2 linked regions of the Oreochromis niloticus genome follow. The protein of the gene in region 1 binds, or shares a complex with, the protein of each later gene. Links are inferred from orthologs where the notes say so. Each region holds a gene or a part of one and is shown in the gene's direction. Other genes may lie near its edges. The genes, in order: pak4 and limk1a.

Region 1 (11,136 bases):
ACACGAGAAAACCAACTAAAAATAACCTCAAGACAAATAACTGACAGCATAACAACAGAGACAGGAGGGGCACTGAAACGCTGACAGACTGGGACACAGTGGGCAAACTGGGGACTGCAGGACAAACCGAAAAATATCAACAAAGTCAAGGCAGGAAATAAAAATCAATTAAACGTGAAACCTGCACAGCTGTCATGGTGAACACATTCAGAGGATATTTTTTCCTTTTTTCCTGCAACTGTGTGTCAATAAAAGCTAAAGTCTGACATTTTTCTGATGCTGCAAAGCATCCTTTTATATTTACGACCTCACACTGAATTATAATCAGCTGAAACACAGGATGGGCTCTCAAAACTAAAAGATGTCAGCGTGTGCTTCATACCACCATATCACGCTCATACTGTGACAATACCAATACCAAATCTATACAGCCCTTGTTAACCCGCGTTTTCCCCTGGATTAAGAATAGAAGAGAAACACATGAGGCCAATAAGCAGCTGTGCTTGAGCCAGCTTGCTCTCATCACCTTTTACGCACACACAAAATCTCATCAGAGTGGGCTCCAGGGAGTTTCCTCTATCTATTATTTGTAGCGGCTCAGCGCAGAGCGTGTGACAGTGTGCGGGTCGCCGTGCCTCCCTCGATCAATAATTAAATTAACAGCTGAGGTTGTCAGCGCTTGTTCTTCCTCACAAGCTGCAGACGAGCCTCGCGTGACTCAGCAGAGCTCGCCGTCCTGTCCGAACTGCAGCAGCAACAAACAGCAAAGGCCGTGCTGCATGCAGCCTGAGCCAGCTGTTCACACATCTGCATCAGCCTCTGGGTTCAGTGATTCCTCCCTTTCTCCTGTCATCTTTCCTCTCCGTGCTCCTGAAACAGCAGGCCACATGGGAAAAAAAAATGTAAGAGTAGACATTCATCATTCATTTATGGCAGTTTTAATCCACAGGAACTGTGCACTTCATAATATTCTCCAAAATAGACTAAAAGCAATTGGCTGATTGGTGTCTGTCATCGTTCTTAAACTTTCTAAGTGCAGGAGAGGCCGTGTTTTAGGAAGTGAAACATGAGATAACAGAATTACACTGATAAACACACAGGTCAGCTATTTCACTACAAGAGTATTTCACAGGATACAGCAAACATCACACTCTTCTCGTGTTATTTCTAAATCTGGAGCTTCTAACAACACTTTATTATCAAAAGTATTCACTCATTAATCCAAACCATTGACTTCAGGTGTTGAAAACCACTTCCAGGGCCACAAGTGTATAAAATCAAGCACCGAGGCATGCAGACTGTTTCTACAAACATTTGAATGAGTTGCTCTCAGGAGCTCAGTGAATTCCAGCATGTTACTGTGAGAGGATGCCATTTGTGGAGCAAGTTCAGTCCTGAACTTTCCTTGCTACTAAATATTCCACCATCAGCTGTTAGTGGTATTATAACAAAGTAGAAGCAACTGGGAATGACAGCAGCTCAGCCATGAAGTGGGAGGCCACAGAAAATTACAGAGTCGGGTCAGTGGATGCTGGGAGCGCATGGTCCGGAGAGGTCGCCAACTTTCTACAGAGTCAATCGTTACAGAACTCCAAACTTCATGTGGCTTCAGATCAGCTCAAGAACAGTGCATAGTAATGTGATGGGTTTCAGTGGCTGAGCAGTAGAGACGGATTATGGTGTGGAGTTGTTTGGAGTTGTTTGTTTGTTGAGACATTTGGACAACTTCATGCTCCCAGCTTTGTGGGAACAGTTTGGGGATGGACCCTGTTCCAACATGACTGTGCACCAGTGCACAAAGCAAGGTCCATAAAGACATGGATGAGCGAGTTTGGTGTGGAAGAACTTGACTGGCCTGCACAGAGTCCTGATCTCAACCTGAACGGCTTTTGGATGAATTAGGGTGAATACTGACAGCCAGGCCTTCTCGTCCAGCATCAGTGTCACAAATACACTTCTGGAAGAATGGTCAGAATTCCCATAAACACTTCTTAACCTTGTGGAAAGACTTCACAGAAGAGTTAAAGTTGTTATAGCTGTAAAGGGTCTGCTGATATCATATGAAACCCTATGGATTAATAATGGGATGTCACTGAAGCTCATACGTGTGTGTAGGCAGATAAAACATTTAACAAATACATAATTCTCAGTTCCAGTTGTGTTTTTTAATTGTGCTTCATTGGGGCATATTTTCTATTTATTTAAATATTTAAAAATATCACCTCAAAATATTCCATTAGTGTCAGAAATCAATTTTTCTGCTCTTTGTTTTGATATATATGCTGTAGGTACAGTATTATGCTCATTCATCATTTCTTTATATTTTGCCTCCAAGTAGCCAGACTTTGTTGAGGAACAGATCTCCAGGCTTTCTGAGATGCAACAACAACAAAAAACATTTGAAAAGGTCCCAAGATGCTTTTTGAACTCAATAAAAGGTTTGGAGTTTAAAGAAATATTTCAGGAGCATTCTGAATGTTTTATCTTTTGCAGTATTTACTTTGGATGTATGTGGATTTGCATTTTTTGTTCCTTGTTTGCTTTCAGTGTTTGTTTCATGCTGTATTTTTACTTTTGATTGTTACTTTTCTTATCTTTAAAAATCTTTTGAACTTTTACACCATGACAATAGTGCCCAAACCACCAGAATACCGCCTTTATTTCTGTTTTAGCTCACAGGCATTTTTCAGAGTACAAATGACAACAATAAATGTCTGATTTTTTGGTTTTTCAATTACAGTCTACAGGCAGCCAAACCTGAAATTTGTGACGTGCTATGAAGCAGGCCAGACTACGTTTTACATTTCATTTTTGTCCAATACGTTTGACCCCCTGTTAAAGTAATTAGATGCCCAGTGAACACTGGAAGGATGATGAAGTCCTGCTTTGTACCATCCATTCAGGGCTTTCATTACCTCATAAGAGGATGTAAACCAGCGAGGCGGCTCGACAAACTGCTGAGCTGTGGATTCATTTAGGAAAGCTGTTTGAGCAGCTTCACATTTTAGTCACAGAGTCCAACCTGTAGTCCCTCAGATGTTGGTGCCTTTACTCCACACTTCTTTAATGCAGTGAAACATGAGAAAACCATCTGTTCTCAGTTTATAAAACACTTACAGCCGAGATCTGATTAACTATATGTTTTCCCTAAGAGTCAGAAACCACAATGAGAGGAAAAGCAGGAATTTTAAAGGACAAATGTGATTTCTCTGTATAAAAAAATAGTAAATATAGATTTATCTATACATGCAGAAGCAAAGCTGGAAAAGAGGAGCATGCTCAGCAAACACACACGTCTCCCAGGACAAACAAAGCCTGTAAATAAGCTGGAGAACCACCAGAAAAGAAGCAAAGTATTGATCCAAATTTGCAATGGGACAAAAAAGCTGCTATTTGAAATGTAACAAATTTGCTTCCACTGCAGAAATAAATGATCAAACTCTCGCTCAATGAAACCTCTAGTTATATAACTTTCTCCTAAAGCTGCAAGTAAAGTTATAATCAGCTGATTGTCATTAGAGGTTAGCAGGTTAAGAGATTAATGTAGGTTTTTCTCAACATATTAATACAGTAAGCAAGACTATCTAAATGGGAAGATGTTTCCACCGAGAGAAACTCTCAAAGGTGACCTTTCCTGCTCATTTCCAGCTCCGTGTGTTTAGGTTTCAGGGACATTTAATATGAGCACCAACTACTGTAACAGTAAATATATGACAGAAAATAAGGGGGGACGTGATAGCTTCATCTCCAGACAATGAAACCTGGAACAGAAGAGGTGTATGCACTTAGTATTGGCAGAAGAAATCTGGTAAATGCGTCATATGAAAATTTGCTGTTCAATAATAAAACATACACAGAAACGTACATCTTTGAGAATAAAATAAAACTTCACAGTTTAGTTCACAAATTTCATTATTATTTTTATCATTTCTGAAACTAACAATGACATTACTCCATCAGTGTGTGAGGAACAAAAAGAAAACTGTCTCCTCACTCATCAGGCCTTTTTGAAAACCTCTCACCGTGACGAGGACGCCACAGAGCAAAGCTTGACAGAGCAGTGTGTGCATTTGATCACTAGAGGTCAGTGTTGTGCAGATCAAACTGCAAAGACACTGAGGTAATATCCTGGCTTTTACAGTGATGAGGGAAATGTGGTTAATGACGTAATGGAGCCGTTTGCTTGTTTTTAAACAAGATTACAAATGTTTTTAAAAGTTGCAATTAATTCTCAATGTTAAGTAAAAATTTACTTACATTATGGATTTACATTTTTCTTTAGTTGAAAGAAATAGCTAAAGTTGAAAGTGATACTGCAGAAAAATATGTTCTTCCATCCATCCATCCATTCATTCATTCATTCATTAATTCTCATCCAGATCAGAGTGACGGTGGAGCCTGTCACAGGGTGAGAGGCGGAGTACACTCTGGACAGCTGGCCAGTCTATCACAGGATTATTATACATTATTTAATCATTTTTATTGAGTTCTGCTTCACTGATGTTGCTGGTTGAGGTCAAGCTATCATAATGTAATTTACCCTGTTGTGTAGTTTCATCTGTAGCAGCACAGGAAATACTGATGAGATCATCACATACAAGGAAACTAATAACTTGCTGCTGTCCCACAAATATGGAGCAGTATCTAGATTTACAAAATAAAACAGTTGCTCAGGCTGAAAGCACAGTAAACAGGAGTTTACATGGTTCATGGAATATTTCACTCTTATCATATCAACTAAATAGACTTAAGATTTTATGTGGAATCAAATATGATCAGTCAGTATGTGCTAGAAAAGATCTGTAATTTTTTAATTATTTAAAAAAAAAAATGTAAACCCAGTTACTAGTTTAACAAACTGGTTTATTTGTGTAGTAAATCATTTTTTCACATTATGAATGGACTAAAAATACAAAATTGCAGAACGTACGAAGTAAAATTCAACAGTACTTTTCTCCTGTTCTAATTGGATTAATTACTTGGTGAGTATTTGAACTTATTATTAGGTAATATTGTTGTTTATACAGATTTAAACATCTTTATTCGAAAAAAGAAATCTGTAAAAACAGACATTTTTTTCATGTAACTTTAAAACATCTGTATTTTAATTAAGATGATTTTATTTTTTTAAATACCACAAAAAATTGATTATTATTGTACATTTCTGATATTTTTTACAGTATTTTTGTGGGAAAAATAATATTAATAATAATTACAGTGCAGTGTATTGATTCATTAGCCAGGAAACAATGAACACAGAGCTGCTGACCCACAAAGACTAAAAATACAAGCAATGGGAACTTTAATGTTACTTTTTTCACAGAACATATTATGATGAGTGTATGTTGACCAAAATTAAATATATTTTACATGTTTGTCAGTGTGTTGTACTGCACATTACCAGACATGAGATTTGTCCTCAGTATCTCCTCCCCTGTTGTTGCCAAACACTGATTAATACAAAGAGCTTTTTTTTGTATCACAGATGCGAGGATAACCAAAGCTTAATTTGTTTTTTAAAAGTCTCTGTCTTCAGATGGCAACATAGCAAAATCAGGGCTTTCAGTGGCAGATTAATGAATATGGTTGTTTATACAGTTTTAATTCCTCTTCATCCAAACAGAGACACCTTCTCTGGGTCGTTCTCACTGCACTGCGGTGCTGCTTGGCATCACTGGGGTGTTTTTTTCTGGATGGTAAGCATACTGTTGCAGTCCCCTTTAACAAACTCGTGAGCAGCTCTGAACCAGCTGTGATGAAAATGGTGAATTCACAGATCCCCAGAGTATGCAGATGTGTTATTCTGGGATAAGGTGAGGATATTCTGGTTCAGACAAAGCTTGTCTGGGCTGTTCTCACTGCAGTGCGGTGCTAAACCTCCACAGAGAAAAACAGTTTTTCTTTGTGAAAGTTTAGCATTTACTTTAGCTCCTCCGAACTAACCCTGAACTTTCCCTCTGTTGCCCCGAGCTTCTTCTGGATGATCACCACCACCTGCGGACTGTCAGATATCTGCACTCCTCACTGTGCAGCTACCTCATTCCTATCTCTTCGCCCACCTTCCTTGCTTTCCTCATCTCCTACAGGAGCAACAGCAGCAAGGCGATGACTTGTCCCTGAACTTATACCGAGGAGTGACGTCGCTATGATCCATGAGCTCCAACTTTATCTGGCACAGAAAGTCGAATTGCATCCAAATAGCTGTTCTCAAGGCTGTAGTCCCACCTATCCATCACCACCTCTGCATCACACAATAGGAGCCTGGCCCTGTATCAGCAACTTCTGTTCCCATCTCTCCTGGTGAATCATTAACCAACCCTACTTGCCGCAGTTTTATTTACTAAAGTTAAGATAAAACCTACCATATGAGCTCATAGTGAAGTTGTTTGTCCCTCTTATTGATTGAAATGTCTCTGTTTTATAGGAATTTACTGCATATTCTACATATTAATGCATGTACGTATGTGTGCCTGCATTGCTTCGACATGGTAGATTAAAAAAACAAAACAAAACTAGCCCCCCCCCCCCAAAAAAATATATTTGATGACAGCATGGTAAAACTGGAAATTCTGTTTTTGGTGTGGCATCCCAGTATTTTTAGTGGCCCCCTATGAAAAAATTCTGGAGGTGCCCCTGTATGAGAATCCATCAGTCCCGCAAATATGACGATTGGCTACATTTGTAAAACAGACTTTTTTGTACCACTGTGTTTAGTCACTGTAACATTAAAAAACACTCTACTGCCATGAGATCAATACATTTCTTCTAAAAAATTTATTTTTTGGTTTGTTTCTCTTGTTTTAAACTTACATTAACTCTCAAGATATAAACCTAAATAGTTCTGTTATGGAAAGCATTCTGAAGTAGTTAGCAATGGGGTTTATTGAAAGGTTCAAATTCCCGGGTTGGCTGAGACCTTTCTGTGTGGAGTTTAGATGTTCTCCCTGTGCCCTTGTGGGATCTCTTCAGTTACTCCAGCTTCCTCAAACAGTCCAAAGACATGCATGTTAGGTTAGCTGGTGATTTTAAAGCAGCTGGATGTAAGATTATATGGAGAGTGCAGACAAATCTTTGTCATGCAAAGAAGAAGCCATATGTGAACATAATAATCCCACAAGGGAAATTTATTGTGTTACAACAGCGGGATAAAGAATAAAAATAGTGCAGTCTACAATAAATAAAGAACAAAGTTAAAGTGCCACAGGCGCATAGTGACGGCCTGTGAGATTGTTATATGTAAACATTTTCCACTGTGATTAAAAAACAAAGAAAAGAAAGAATAAAAAAATTAGGTTAAGTTAAAGTAAAGTAAAAAGTGAGACTGAGATGGTAAAAGAGAGTAGTGTGAATTGCATTAATAAATAATACGTGCACTACAAATGTAAGAAACAGCTGGGAGGAAGGTACAGTATTAGTCTACCGGTGGGCGGTAATGTTTACCAACCACAAAGAAGAAGAAAAAAAAGCCGAAGAAGAGTCGTCTCCCGGTAGCCCGTTGCTAACTCGGTTTCCATGGAGATTGGTTTCAGTTTCCCGGATGTTCCAGTTTCCTCTGTTCAACATGGCGTCGGGAAAGTAAGACTTCGGCTAATATCACACAGTTTGCCCTGAAGTTAGTCCGCTCCCGCCCTTCTGATTTTTGGAAAGTTTCCAAGTACGTCGCGGGGTCGGCAGAAAAAGTTTTCCTGGGACATCCCTGGTGAGTATCCCCGCGTGGCTCTGACTTCGGTTACCGGACCGTGCTGTGGGTTAGCTTGTGGCGCGTCTCCGCTCCCCGCTGAGCCGCTAACGGAGGCTAGCGTTAGCTGCGCTCCGGTCGGTCCGGCCAGTCCGGGTGTGAGGATACCGGAGCAGCCTCCTTCAGTCTGCTCTCCTTGTGTTTGTGTGTTAGCTCATGAATCACTCAAAGCGTAGACTAGAGTGAATCGTGTCTGAACTGTGAAATCAAAAATCTGAGGGCCACTTGTGAAAGTTGTTAAACAATAAAAATGTGAAGCTAACTTTAGGTTCAGACTGTCTTCCTTTGCTAAGATCTCATACGCTCACAGGATGGCTCATTTGCACACCCAGGAGACAAACGAGTTCTGGTAACGCTGAGTCTGCCAGTCTGCTTTCTGATAAGTTCAGCTGGTTCCTGATAATCACGATCACGGTGAACTTCCGTTTTCACCTGTGAAGGAGGACTGAATTGTTTGTGTGGGCAGGCTAAAGCAGGAAAAGAGGATATTAAGCTGCTCCCTCTCTCTCTCGTGCATGAATGAATTCTCCTTTTTAGTTTCTTTTTTCCCCTCCCACTTCTTTTCCTCTTGGCTGGCGGATGTCATGTTATGGATTGCATTTGTGTTGTGCTTCGTGAGTGTGCAGTGAGAGGAAGGGGGGGGGGGTTTGTGTTTGTAAGGTCGTGCGGTTGGTGCTGGGCACACCATACATTCCTGGGATTCCAGAGAAGCTGTATGAAGGGGTCACTCGTCTCTCTCACATATGCACCATTCCCAAACAGCAGCGGGAACATCTACATCATGTATGGCAAAATATTCATCAGCAATATTCACGTGTTAAGTTGCGAGATGGGATGCAGCTGCAAGACAGCTGATATCCATCTACTAGTAAGTAAGATAAACAGTTAAGTTTATCTGCTGGAGAGTTCAAAGGCAGTGTGATGAAAAGGTGAAAGTCTTTTAAAAAGATGTTAGTGTTTATAGCACAGAAGTGGGAACAGATAACAAGAAAAGTACATTTAAATAAACTATGGATACATGAGGATAGGATTTAGGCCAAATTCTTTTGACAGTATCAGCTCAGAATTTCACAATCAGTACAGCCATATTGAAAAGTTATATTTTTGTTAGATAGTAGCTAACTGACTAATATCTCTTTGGGAAAATGCAACTTATGGATGGCATTTGTTCTGCTAAATTACAACAACCTCAACTGAATCTGAAAGAAACAAATGGCAAGTTTACTGGAAAAAAATTGGAAATGTGTGTGTTTTCTTTGAGTGATTGTTCATTGTGAACAAAAAACACAGCATATGTGCTGAATATGAATCTAACAGTGTTAAGATAACATGGTTTTAAAATACCTTGTTAGGTACCTGATAATTTAAAATTATACAAACCTAAGCCAAAAGGACAGGTGAAAGAAAGTAATTAGCTTTTCTAGCAGAAAATGTTTAAGTTCTGTTTACTTTTTCGGGTTTCCAGAACAGCTTTAATAAAAAGCATCTTCTTCTGTCTGCTGGTAGTTGTAGAAACATTGGAATTGTCTGCTCTGTGGTGGAAAAACGAGGAGCCAACCAAGGTAATCAAACAGGAAAAACAGGCTGGCAGGTTAAACAGTCATCCTCACTGACATATTTGGACCAGATAAACCAAATCCACGCAGGTCATAGAAGCAGCAGACAATCAACAAGTGGAAAAATAAACGACTTTGTGTGGCAGACAAGGGGCATATAGAGAGTCTGTTGGGAAAGGAGCATTAAGTGTATGCTGCTGTTTGGTTTTTGTTTGTTTTTCCTTAAAGTAGGATATCAGTATTATACTTTATTCTCCTCCTGAAAGGAGGCTCCAGTTGGCTCTCCCTGTAGGGTAAAAGAGGGGGTTTTGTGGTACCCTGGAGGTTGCTCAAAAAGCCCTCATCCCAGTATAAATAATCAAAACTGGTCCCAAAAGATGCTGCTTGGTGTTTATTCTGCTTGCTGGCAGGAAACTTATTATGCTACCTGGCAGGATAAAGACATTTAACAACACTTTTTAACTTTAATTTTACTACTTCATAATAATTTCCTTTGGCTCAGACAACAATAAACCACAATGTCTGCGGGTAGAAGTCTGTTGGGAACCTTTGCTGCATCCATCTTTCCTTCATTTCCTGTCATTTGCCTGCTGGCACTATGTAACAGGGCCAAACCTAAGAGAGCCCTGCCAGTTTCAGTCACTGACTAGCAGTTTCACTGGCTGAAATGAAACCTGTTCCTGAATTTATTCCCAAGGTCATATGATTTATCGAAGTGCTGTGACTCATTACTGATGATGATTGAAATGATGGCACAGATCTTTTGGGGGGGGGGGGGGGGACAAAACAAAACTAGAACTTTTGGCCTATGGGTCAGAAATGTGTCTGGAGAAGGAAGAATGAACTGACCTATAGTAATGCATGATGGTGGCTCAGTGATGTCAGAGACTTCTTTGATTCCTCATGTAATGCAAAAGTCTACAAAGTACAACTGGCAACATGTAGTAAATAAAGTATCAGAAATCCTGGAAGAAAATAATAATAATGATAATGGATTGCATTTATATAGCGCTTTTCTAAGCACCCAAAACGCTTTACAGTTCCACTATTCATTCACTCTCACATTCACACACTGGTGGAGGCAAGCTACAGTTGTAGCCACAGCTGCCCTGGGGTAGACTGACAGAAGCGAGGCTGCCATATCGCGCCATCGGCCCCTCTGGCCAACACCAGTAGGCGGTAGGGTAAAGTGTCTTGCCCAAGGACACAACGACCAGGACAGAGAGAGCAGGGGGATCGAACTGGCAACCTTCCGGTTACAGATGAGCTTCCCAATCTCCTGAGCCACGGTCGCCAAAATGTATTGCTGTCAGTGAGGACGCTGATGCGCAAGCATTGATGGACCTTTCAGTAGTAGTACAGTGACCCAAGCATACCTCAGAATATTGGCTTTAGGTTTCAGAGGAAGTCCTAGATAGTGGCTGTCTGAACCATTAATATGGAAAAGCTGTGGCGGGACTTGACTAAGGCAGTTAGAAAGAAGTGTACTTATAGTTACGAACTTTGAGGTGCTGTTTTATGCAGAATTTACTAGACAAAGCTAGACAAACTTCTTCCATAATAAAGGCCCATTTGGCAGCTATTTCAGTGTGCAGTGTGGGCTTTGGTGATAAGCCTGCTGGACACTGAATTTATGCCAATAAACCTAATACACAATGGGGCTAAAGATTTTTTGCTTCTAACTGTATTTAGCAGTAAAGAAGAGGCATTCAAAAATATATCTGATCACTTGCTATATGCTACTTTTTTCAAATTCCTCTGCAGTTTCTGTATTTTCTTTGATCATATTTATAAAGCTGCAGTACCTAAAATCTACTGAGTTTGAAGGATTCACTCCAAGCA
Region 2 (10,351 bases), about 15 Mb from region 1:
TAACTAAACGGGGGAACGCAGACATGTGAATGATCTTAACACAGTAAGAAAAGGATAAGACGGGAAACACCGAGGAAACAACTGAAACTTTAAGACTAAAGACTAACGGTGAGCATGGAGTAGAACAGATTTTCAATATCCCCACTGTAGGCAGACTTATCTGTGATGAGCCCGATTGAGGTGGTGTCATCTGTTAACTTCATAAGGTTGACAGACTGGTAACTGGAGGTGGAGCTGTTGGTAGGCAAGAAGAAAATGAGGGGAGAAAGTACGTAGCCTGTAGGGGAACTGGTGCTGCTGGTCTGAGACATGCATGCATTTTCATGTCATGCCATTCACATGACCAGTGAGGGTTTTCACATCCTTCCTTGGGCCGGTGAATAGTGCAGCAGTCCACAATGATGTGACAAAATGATCTTTACTAAATAAGTGTGCCTTTTGGCAGCCATCCTAAAAAGTACTTCACAGTCACCAGGACTCAAAAACTTCAAATGTAGAAGTTTATTATAAATATTATTCATCTCATCTTGGTGGTGTTGATTAGATTAAGATAAAGTTATTATCCAGTATATCAGCAGCTGTCTATCATATATCACCTACCTTATTGATATAACTTGCTGAGCAGGTCTGCAGTAAAAACTTCACTAGTAAATCCATCTACAGTTTAATTTCCAGCACCCGTGTTTGGAGGCAAGTGCCTCCTGCCTTAAACGGCTTACAGGGCTGCGGCTTGTGTTGCTTACTGGAAACGTGAACTTTTATAAGACATGCTGAGAAAAAGACAAGTTCTTAAACATTTATGCACTAGAAGAACGTTTTGTTTAAAGGAAATTAATCATATTGTGTTCTTTTTTATTTGAAAGTATCAAATTTTACACACAAAGTTTTTCCTTGTATTAATAGAAACAAAAACCACAAAAAGGCCAAGAGAACAGTTGAATATTCAAATACATGCGTGGAAAATAGAGTGACAGATTTGCCCAGTGGCCAGTCAGGTAATCTTCTGGCTAACATTAAGCCCAGTACCATCAGACTGGAAACATAATAACCAATACTGTTTTGTTGTTTTGCAGCCAAAGCAGCAAAGTACGGTCCTCTGCAGGGCTTCCTTGGTGGAGGAGGCGGCGGAGGAATCTATAGAGGTAAAAGATTTGCGCACATTGTTGAAGAAGCATCCTGAAAACAGAAGTTGCTGCTAAGCAAAGACTAAAATGTTGCCGGTGTTTGCTGCAGGTGGTGTTGCAGGATGCCAGGGCAAATACTGTGGGAGGAGGAAGTAGAGGATCTCCCGAGATCCAGTGACCTCAAGAAACCATGGTGCTACTGCATGATCGAGAATGTACATTTTATATGCAAAGCCCCATTAGACAACCTGTAAAGATGTTTGTTCTTACTTACTTGACTTCAGTGTCTGTTTTTACACAAACCCACCGACCCAGAATTTTGTACATGTGCTGATGTGACGTATGTTATTGACAGTGCCTTTAATCATTAACATGTTCAAGTTAACCAGCTTTAATTCTGTACCGCACCGGCCCACCATGTGTCGCTGCGTCCGTGCACGCACGCCTGCACGTGTGTGTATCGTTTGTTTGAAACTGTCTGTACCATCGGCTGTCAATGTGACCCACAAGTGATTTCCCTTTCTGCTTTAATCCTAAACTAAATCAAGGTGATCCGTCTCACTGGGCAGCACAGGGCTCATCTACTCCTCTCCAACCTGTCACAGGGGTGGGGTTGGTCATAGCTAGGCCGAAATCTGATGATATCCAGCCAATGTCAGTGTGGTTCCTGGCTCCCCATTTTCTCTGCTGCCATTTTTAGGCCTGCTGGGTATAAAGCGGTGGTAACTGGGGCTCCGGCCAACCCATCTGCTCTCGGCAACTTTGCTGATTCTTGTTGCTGTGCAGTTCAGTTTTCTCAGCTTTTTTTTTTTTGTTAAATGTTGCCAAACACTTTCTGCTGAAGACAGTCAAAAAGCAGTGTGTTCAAATATCAATCAGACTCTGCTCTGGTATGTACGCGACGTGTATGTGCGTGTGTGTTTCATTATGTGTCGTGTTTAAGTCTGCTTCAAATGTTTAGTCTCATTTACATTTATGTAACTGGTCATTATTCAAGATTTGTTGCACCATGATTTGACTCATAGCTTTTTTGTTATCAGGAATGTGTGAGCATTAAAAAAAACAATCCTTTGCTTTTGCATTTATTCACTGTTATTAACTGTAATACAGATTAATACTTTGTTTTAATGGGAGTGCCGCTGTGTTTATGTGAGGCACAAAATCCCTGTTCTTTATTTACTTGAGCTGCTTTAAAAAAAAACAAAACCAAAGGCTTTACTGACCAAAGGTTCATGAGCGCTGTTGCCAAGTGACCCCCATCTCTTCCCGTAACTGTGTACTGTATTTTGTACTAATTTGATGGCTTCAGTTCCTTCACTCGGTGCTGTGTAAGAACTGTCTTTGAGCCTCGCTGGGTCAGACCTTGTCTTATGTGGCGTGGGATACTCTTCATCTTTATTTAAAACTGTTTTTATAAGGAGGAACAGTGTGGTTTTGCACTTTTTATGTTTCCACGGCACACATGTGACTTGTTCCCGGACATCCGGCATTTTATTTGCTTTAACAAATAACAAAATAAAATGTGTTTAAAGAACACGCGTCTTCTTATTCATTACTTCTTGCTGCCTGTCCTGAGGGCTGATCAAAATCACCTGGTGGGGAGTGTCGAATCAGTCCAACGCTGGAACAATAACCTGGGTTCAAGTCCTGCCTGTTTTAGAGCTTTTTTCATACGAGTTCTGTTATTGTTCCACTAGGAAAAATGAATCACTTATCAGATTTATTGTATGTGAAGGATTTTTTCTCTATAATAAAAACAAACCTCAGGTTAGATGCGAACACTTTGAGCTCTGTTCTTATTGTGCCAGCTGGAAGTAATGAACTCATACTGCTGTTCCCTGAAGATCTCCTGGGAGAGCCACTGACCCGTGATCCACATCCTGTAAAAGTAGCTTACACTGTTGTTCCAGGAGCAGAGGCTTTACTGCAGACATAAAACAATGTCACTGTGAAACTCTAGTCGAATTCTGTTTTTCTACAGCTGACAATTACACATTTCTGTAAATCTGTTTGCTTGATTTTCCTAGTATTAGTTAGCTTACTTAATTTCTAACAGGAAATAATGTGTTTGTGTTACTTTAGCCAACATGTAATAGGTGTAGGCAAACCCTTTGTACATACGTGTACTAAATCAGTTATCTGGCGACCTGCCACTGGGACAAACAGATCAAACCTCTGGCCCTGGCTTAGCTATCTCACTCCCATCTCCCCATACCGACACTCCTGACGCTGAACCAGTGCCACTGATTCTTCAGTTCATCATGTCCAAGCAATGATGATTTTTAGGCAAAAATATTTCAACTTGGTGCCCATTAATGCTATACTCACACATAGGAAAACAGTGTTTGGAGACTGCAGCACAAGCAAAATTATTGTGATTTGTGTGTTTTGAAGACGGAGACCGGGTATGCAACCTCCCGCAGTGAGCTGCCGTCTTCGTTACCATTTTATTGCTGTCTTTAGTGCGATAAGACTGAATCGGTCTGCTATGAATCTGCTGGCAATTACATGTTAATACTACAAACCTGATAATACAAACCTGTTGCCGTCTACATGTACATAAGGCATCCAGTTGAAGTGAGTCCCTTACTGCAAAGAGACGTGTTACAGAGGAGTTAGGTCATCCAGACTCACTCAGAGTTTTAAAAAAAAAATGGAAAAAAATCCATCCTCACCACCGCGTGGAGCAGGTGCAGAGCCGAAAAAATGTAAACATAGAAAAGAATTAACACGCACTGCAGAGCTCCAGCTTCCTTATTTACTGCATCTAGTCGTGTGTGACGTTTCGACTACGTCTGCTCTTCTTCAGATAATGAAACATAGGACGGCACCATCTTAAATCAGCTGTGATAGATCACATGACCATGACCCATGGCAATAATATCTAATCAGAACCATGTTTTATATAGGTCTCACTCAGATTTACTGCAATATGTTGATAGTCTGTCTGCATTTGAATTTGAGTTTGCCATTTTATGTCCACTCTAGTGTTACCTGCACCTCAACTCGCCTCCGTATTTGTTGTGTGAAATTGGCACTAATGTGGGTGTGGCTTTGTGTATGTGTGTTTCAGAATTGCTGTGAGACAGTGGCTGATTGGGTTGTTTTAACTGAAGCTAGTTACATTTGATTGCACTTACACTCTGGTCCTTTGATATTTCACACTGCAAACGCTGCTGTTTCACTTGTGGCTCTCTGTGCAGGTATGTTAAAAATTCCAGATTTAAGAAAGTTTAAATTAAAAATATTTTTTATGTCTGCATTCTGCTGTGGTTCTGTGTTTTGTACAATTAAAATTCAGAGATAATTCGGGTATATAATCACGCTGTACACACAGAATCCGTGTGTTACACTGAACCATAAAGGAAAATGGACGTGGTGACTGTGTTGCATTTAAGCAATGACTAAAAATCAGTAATTACCATTTTGTAATTTCTGAATTGTGCGCTCAGGCTTCCGTTTTGTGTCTGCTTTGCACTTTGCACAGCTAACTGATTTTATGGCTCCTAAATTAAGCCCCAGTTAATCTCATGAACAGCAAATTTCACGATTTAGACTTCTCTTAAACATTAAATAAAACCTCAGTTTTTATGCTGCTGACTACACTGCAGCTGCTTTCAGATTTGCCTTCATGGGTTTCAAACCAGCCAACCACTTCATTTTCTTTCCCTTCGTTCCAGCTTCTTTTTATGTTGCATCCTTTGTTTACTGCGATTGCACTTCGATGAGACACTTAACAGCTACTTCCAGCACCTCCACCCCTTTCGCCACTATCATGCATCAACGCGTTAATAGTTTACCTGCCTTTCTACAAGAGCGCGCTCTGTCTACTTGTAGTTACTATGGTGGCGTTTCTGCGCCGTCTACCCCCCTCCGTCCCTCCTCCACCAGACTTCATTAAGCAGGGCGTGTTTGTGGTTGGCCAGCCCCCTGTTTCCTCCGCACTGCTCGGCAGCTTCATTGGTCAGCGCCTCTCTTGAATGAAGCGCCGCAGAAACGTGCAGGCAGCGGGCAGAAGGAAGCTGTGTGGGCCGCCGCAGGGAGCGACCGACGCGCAGCGACACGACCCCCGGGCGCGTTGCGGTGTGTGTCGGTGAACACCGTTTATCCGTCGAGCAGAGGCAGTTGGCTCTCTCCCGGAGCTCCGCGTGTGAATGAGGTTGATGCTGCTCTGTTGCACCTGGAAGGACGAACGCATGGGAGAGGAGGAAGGTAAGGACCTGCGTGCTGGTTACGCGCTTCGGCTTTTGGGGCGGGCGATGCGGAGACGACGGCGCACTCCCTGCTCCTCGAAACGCAGAAGATGCTCCAACAGAAAAAAAGCTGCACACTGCGCCGTTTCTGTGTTTACTGTACAGAAATAGGTTCGTGTGCAGGGAGCGCCAGGCTGTGCCGCAGATGAAGCCATTCTTCGAGTGGATACGGCCAGCATGTTTGTATGCAACGTTCACCCTCAGGCCACCACCACCACACTCTTCATCTGCCGCCAGCCTTCTCCAATAATCCAGCATGCAGTGCTTATAAACAGGTTGTTACATGAGAAGTAACTGTCCTTTAAGAGCTTCCTTCATGCTGTGTGAAAAACACACAGAGGGCAGAGTTTCCTGTTGTGCCTGCACCAAACTAAGACTCCCACAGACTCCATGATTACCTTAGGTGTGTGACCGGTGTGGATTTAATCATATAAATCAGCCAGATAACCTTCTGATCTCATTATTAATGAAGCTGTTTTAATTGTATGTTTTTTTAATTCATTGTTTTCTGGATAGTGATTCAGGAATCTATGGCTCGAACAGCTGGTAAACCACATTGTTGATATATGTGTGTGTATTTTGGCATGTGGTGTGAGATAACTGTGCACACCGAGCTGTCAGTCAGCTTCACAGAGGTGAACAATGGACGTCCTATGTAAGGTTTCACTTTGCATTGCAGTGTGATTAGCTAATCTGGAAGTGTCTGCTTTAAGTCAGAGCGGGCGGGGGCGTACGCACCTGTACCTGCACAGGTTTTACAGTTTGTGCCAGAATGTAGGTGTGTTTCTGTTTGCTTTGGCTGCCCTTTCTGAAGTCAACAGGAGGAAAGACACCATGCAGAGAAATGCTCCACAATAAAAAATGCTAAAAAAAAGAAAAGATGGTAAAACAAAAGTGTTTAAAGAGAGAAGGCTGGAGGAGTGTAGAAGAAAAGCATTAGCACCAGACATCAGCACCCAAAGCTCTGCCAAAATGGCTTTCAGTTCACAGGATGGATGAATAATTGAAGCTGTTGTGCAGAGTTAAGTTTTATCAAGACTCTTCCACCAGTATCCAGATTTCATGTTGTGGCACTTTTGAATTTAACCTTGGTCAAAATTGGGCCTCTTTATAGCTGCTTTGTATGTGGAGAAGTACTCTTGTTACTTCTTGTTGAAATGCCGCGATGAAGAGGTGCCACGCTCGGCTGTTACTCTGAGGTGACAGTCGTGATGTTACTCTTGGGTGCACCGCAAGTTCAGGAGCTCAGCAGCGAGAGTAATGCGGGGGAACCTGAAGCAGTAGCATCTGTGCAGTCTTATTCTTTACAAATCAAAACAGCATCACCACGGATGAAATGCTTTCAACTGGCTGCCATGTTTGTGTTTGCTGTTACTCACTGAGTCTTGCCGTGTGACTTTTTTTTAGGCAAATTAACTCAGGCAACAAATGCATCTAACACAGCATAACGTCAGCCGCCGCCTCGCCCTTTGCACCAGATGAACTCTTACTGCAGGATAAATCGTCCCAACTCTGCCAAATTGCTTTTTTCCTGAAACTCTAATCATAATGAAGATTTTCCTCAGAGTTGGAATCTTTGATCTGCAGCTAATAAGATTCCTCTCATAGAAACGGCTCTTATCAGGAAAGAAGTAGAAGAAAGCCGATGGCTGGTTTAAATTCTGTTTAATTTACTTTTCTTTTCTGCGTTAGTTTGCATTTTGTAAGGAAAATGTAAAGTGTGCCTGCTAATAACACCATGTTATTTAAATATGCCCCAGTTAATCCCTGCCATCATTTTATGCATCATCTCAGCTTCTCTTTAGTTTCTTTGTGTTGTTTCCTGCTTTTACAACACGCACGGCTTTTGTACAGGTAAATTGTGGGGAAAAAACCCAAAACAACAACAAAAAATGGAAAGGTTGTGACTAGAAAAAAGGGATAAAACATCCAATTAAATGTAGGTTTGGAAAAATAAAATAAAAGCCTTATATTACTTTTCCAAACTGATCATAACTACCTTTGGAAACCTGGATGTTTTATGCCTTTTGGTCATAATATTTCCATTTTTCTCATTGCCAAAGTTTGAATATTATCCTATAATTCTAGGCAAAAAATTGTGTTTCTTTAAATGTTGTGATTTTTTTTAATAAACTAGAGTTTATCTACTAAACAGGGCGATGCAGCAAATTAGTGGTTTCGGGCCTGCTGAGCCGTATGCTCATTAAAAATGCCCCTTCAGATGGTACATCGTTTCTGCTCTGGTGGTAACGATGGAGGAGACGCTGTGTGGTGTGTTTGTTTGAGTTGTGTGTTTTTAGAGCTGGGTTATAAACCAGCAGTGATAATTTGCATAGCCAGATAAGCGACGGAGGTGGCACACAGACTGGCACGCAAACACACATCTCTTTGTAAGAACTGTTTATAACTTTATGTTTAATGAGCTTTAATATGGTGATATCAGCACGTCTGTCTCCTGTCATTACAGCAGGAGGAAGTTTGCCCGTGTGCGCGGGATGCAAACAGAGGATCTACGATGAGCAGTACCTCCAGGCCCTTAACAATGACTGGCATACCGTCTGCTTCAGGTACTTTCAGCACAAACAGCAAACCAGACTCGACATATAAACCCAGACTTTAAGAGCACACACGTCTTTAAGTCTCACTGAGTTTTTGGCCACTTGGGAACAACACTGAAATATCACAGTGCATCTTGCTTATTTATCCATCCTACAAGTCCGTCCAGGTAGAGCAAATACAGGTCAAAAGTTCACTGGCATTTACCGCTGTTCATGGAGTCGACCAATTTCCGAGGGGGAATTCTGCCTATCATTTAGCTGCTAAATGTTCCACTGTGTTCAACAGCCGGTTAGTAAGTGTCTGCTGAATGGTATATTACTGTGATTAATATATCGCTCATTATTACTGCTTTAAAGGACAGTGAAGGAGTGAGTGAGGTGAGTTAATGATTGCACATATAAGGCATAAAAGTACCCTAGAAAATAAAATAAAAATACCAAATATTTGCTGTTTTCAGTGTTTAAAGGTCCTGTGAGTCCACAGTCCAGCGAAAACCCTTTTTTTCTTAAAATACTGGCTCCACAGGAAAATAAAGGCTAAGTAGCAGCCGGATGTTGCTAATCACATCCACTGACTGTCTGATCAGTTTACAGGTCTGAAGCATTCAGTGCGTGTTAAAGAGCCCGACAGCATGGCTTAGGTTTGAAAAGTTTCATCTGAACAAACCACAAGGCTTCTGGAACAATGTCCTTTGGGCATGTTTGGCTGTAATGTACAAACACCTCATAGCAACAAACAGGCACGGTGGTGGAGGGTGATTATTTAGGCTTGTTTTCCAAGCATAGAACGTGGGCACCTATTAGTTATTAAGCTGATGATTAACTCCTCTGTTCACCAAAGTATTCTAGAGTCAAATATGAGGCCATCCATCCGACGGCTAAATACTGACGCAAACTGGGTCGTGCAACTGGTCAGTGATTCCAAACACAGCAGCAAAGTCCAGACCTAACTGAAATGTTGTGGCGGGACCTTAAGAGAGCTGTGCAAAAAAAATGCTTGCAAACTTCAATGAACGGATGTAATGTTGTAAAGAAGTGTGGGTCAAAATTCCTCCACAGAGATGTGAGAGACTGATAAAGTTATTGCTACTAAATGTAGTTTAATGAGCTAGTGAATCGTGGGGCATACTTATTTCTCACAGGACTGCAGAGAGTCTCGTGAGAAACTTTATTTTTCACATGACTGTGTGATTAAAAAAATGATCAGGTTGTTAGATAAAACAGTTTATTCATTTCACCTTGGGAAACTGTAAAAGAGATATTAAACAGGAGAAATAGCTGGGAGGTTATGTAACAAGTTTTAGCTGTAGTTTTTTGTGGTTTCAATGTAGGCTTTGTGCTGCAGTATTTCCTGGAAATAGCTGACATGACAGTGAAGCGCTACTGTTACAAACTCGTTCCCAGGCATGTCTGTGCCTGCTTGTGTGGGTTTTTTTTTTGAGGAGCCAAAATTCCCTGAAAACATTAAGTTTGCATGTTATTGCCCATAATCACATCTTGTTCCTTGTTTAATCTTTTCTTCACTGTAGTGCTAACACAAGTATCCTCCCCCCACCAGCTTTTCTAAGTAAATCTCCTTAAATCTGATCTGTCTTTTTCTCACAAGTGTTTCCTTTTTGTGGCTGAAGGTAAAGGTAAAGTTTCCGATTTTGCTGTGTTTTCTGGTACTTTTAGTTTTTGATGAATTCTGTAACAGACATAACCTAAAGTAGTCCTGGCTGCAGACCTGCGTCAGACAAGTGATAATGTTGAAACCTTCACATGATGCAGTAATGAAACTTTACAGGTGTGTAGCTGAGATCAAAATTAAAATTTGGAGTTTAAAGATGGGTGTGATCTAATTCACAAACACTGAGTAAAGGGCACCAGAATAATATTTCTAAAGACAGACATTAGCATTGAGGCTGTTGGGATACCTTCTCTAGTTTTGACCTGTAAAATTACAACATCATGACACCTTCACAGTAAAGAAATTGCGAAAGATGCAGATACACATAGACACATAGTCACCAGCGGTTTAAACAAGTCCTGGCTGGCTCACAGTCAAATGTCTGCTTCTGAAAAATGAGATTTAACCCTCTGAGAGCTGAGTCAACTCTAATCCTAAGCAATCACATTTTGTAATTTACCTCACTTATAAGCATCTCCTTTAACTATTTTACCCATCGTGTATGAAAAAAGTGGAGAAGGGTAATAATTCAGGTCCGTTTCCACTTCTCTTGTCTATGGTGTGCCGCAAGGTTCTGTTTTGGGGCCTTTACTGTTTCTTTTATATTTGTTCCCTCTTCAGTACTTTTCAGGCACTTTTAAAAACTTTTCTTTTTATTGCTGTGTAGATAACATTCAGTTGTATCACTGTTTTAAGCCACACAATGTTTTTAAGCTACAGATCTGGCAGGGGTGCTTAGCTGCCGTT

The links.
Region 2: the proteins of pak4 (region 1) and limk1a are in contact, whole or in part, in a crystal structure (PDB 6WLY), measured with the Homo sapiens proteins. The link is inferred for Oreochromis niloticus from reciprocal best matches to the Homo sapiens genes PAK4 and LIMK1. Residues at the interface, in NP_001014831.1 of Homo sapiens: Glu329, Gly330, Ser331, Gln358, Arg359, Leu362, Thr404, Asp440, Lys442, Ser443, Asp444, Phe461, Leu475, Val476, Gly477, Thr478, Pro479, Tyr480, Trp481, Met482, Glu507, Phe516, Pro520; in NP_002305.1 of Homo sapiens: Lys505, Arg506, Tyr507, Thr508, Val509, Val510, Gly511.

The regions. Positions count from the first base shown.
Region 1 is NC_031979.2:34,926,601-34,937,736, forward strand, and holds the start of pak4 (serine/threonine-protein kinase PAK 4), read left to right. Parts: upstream 1-6,853; 5' UTR 6,854-7,699; intron 7,700-11,136. UniProt on the Homo sapiens protein: Serine/threonine-protein kinase that plays a role in a variety of different signaling pathways including cytoskeleton regulation, cell adhesion turnover, cell migration, growth, proliferation or cell survival.
Region 2 is NC_031979.2:19,907,993-19,918,343, reverse strand, and holds the start of limk1a (LIM domain kinase 1a), read left to right. Parts: upstream 1-5,085; 5' UTR 5,086-5,278; coding exon 5,279-5,336; intron 5,337-7,844; coding exon 7,845-7,944; intron 7,945-10,351. Other genes in the region: elna (elastin), read left to right, coding at 1,074-1,142, 1,234-1,280. UniProt on the Homo sapiens protein: Serine/threonine-protein kinase that plays an essential role in the regulation of actin filament dynamics. Acts downstream of several Rho family GTPase signal transduction pathways.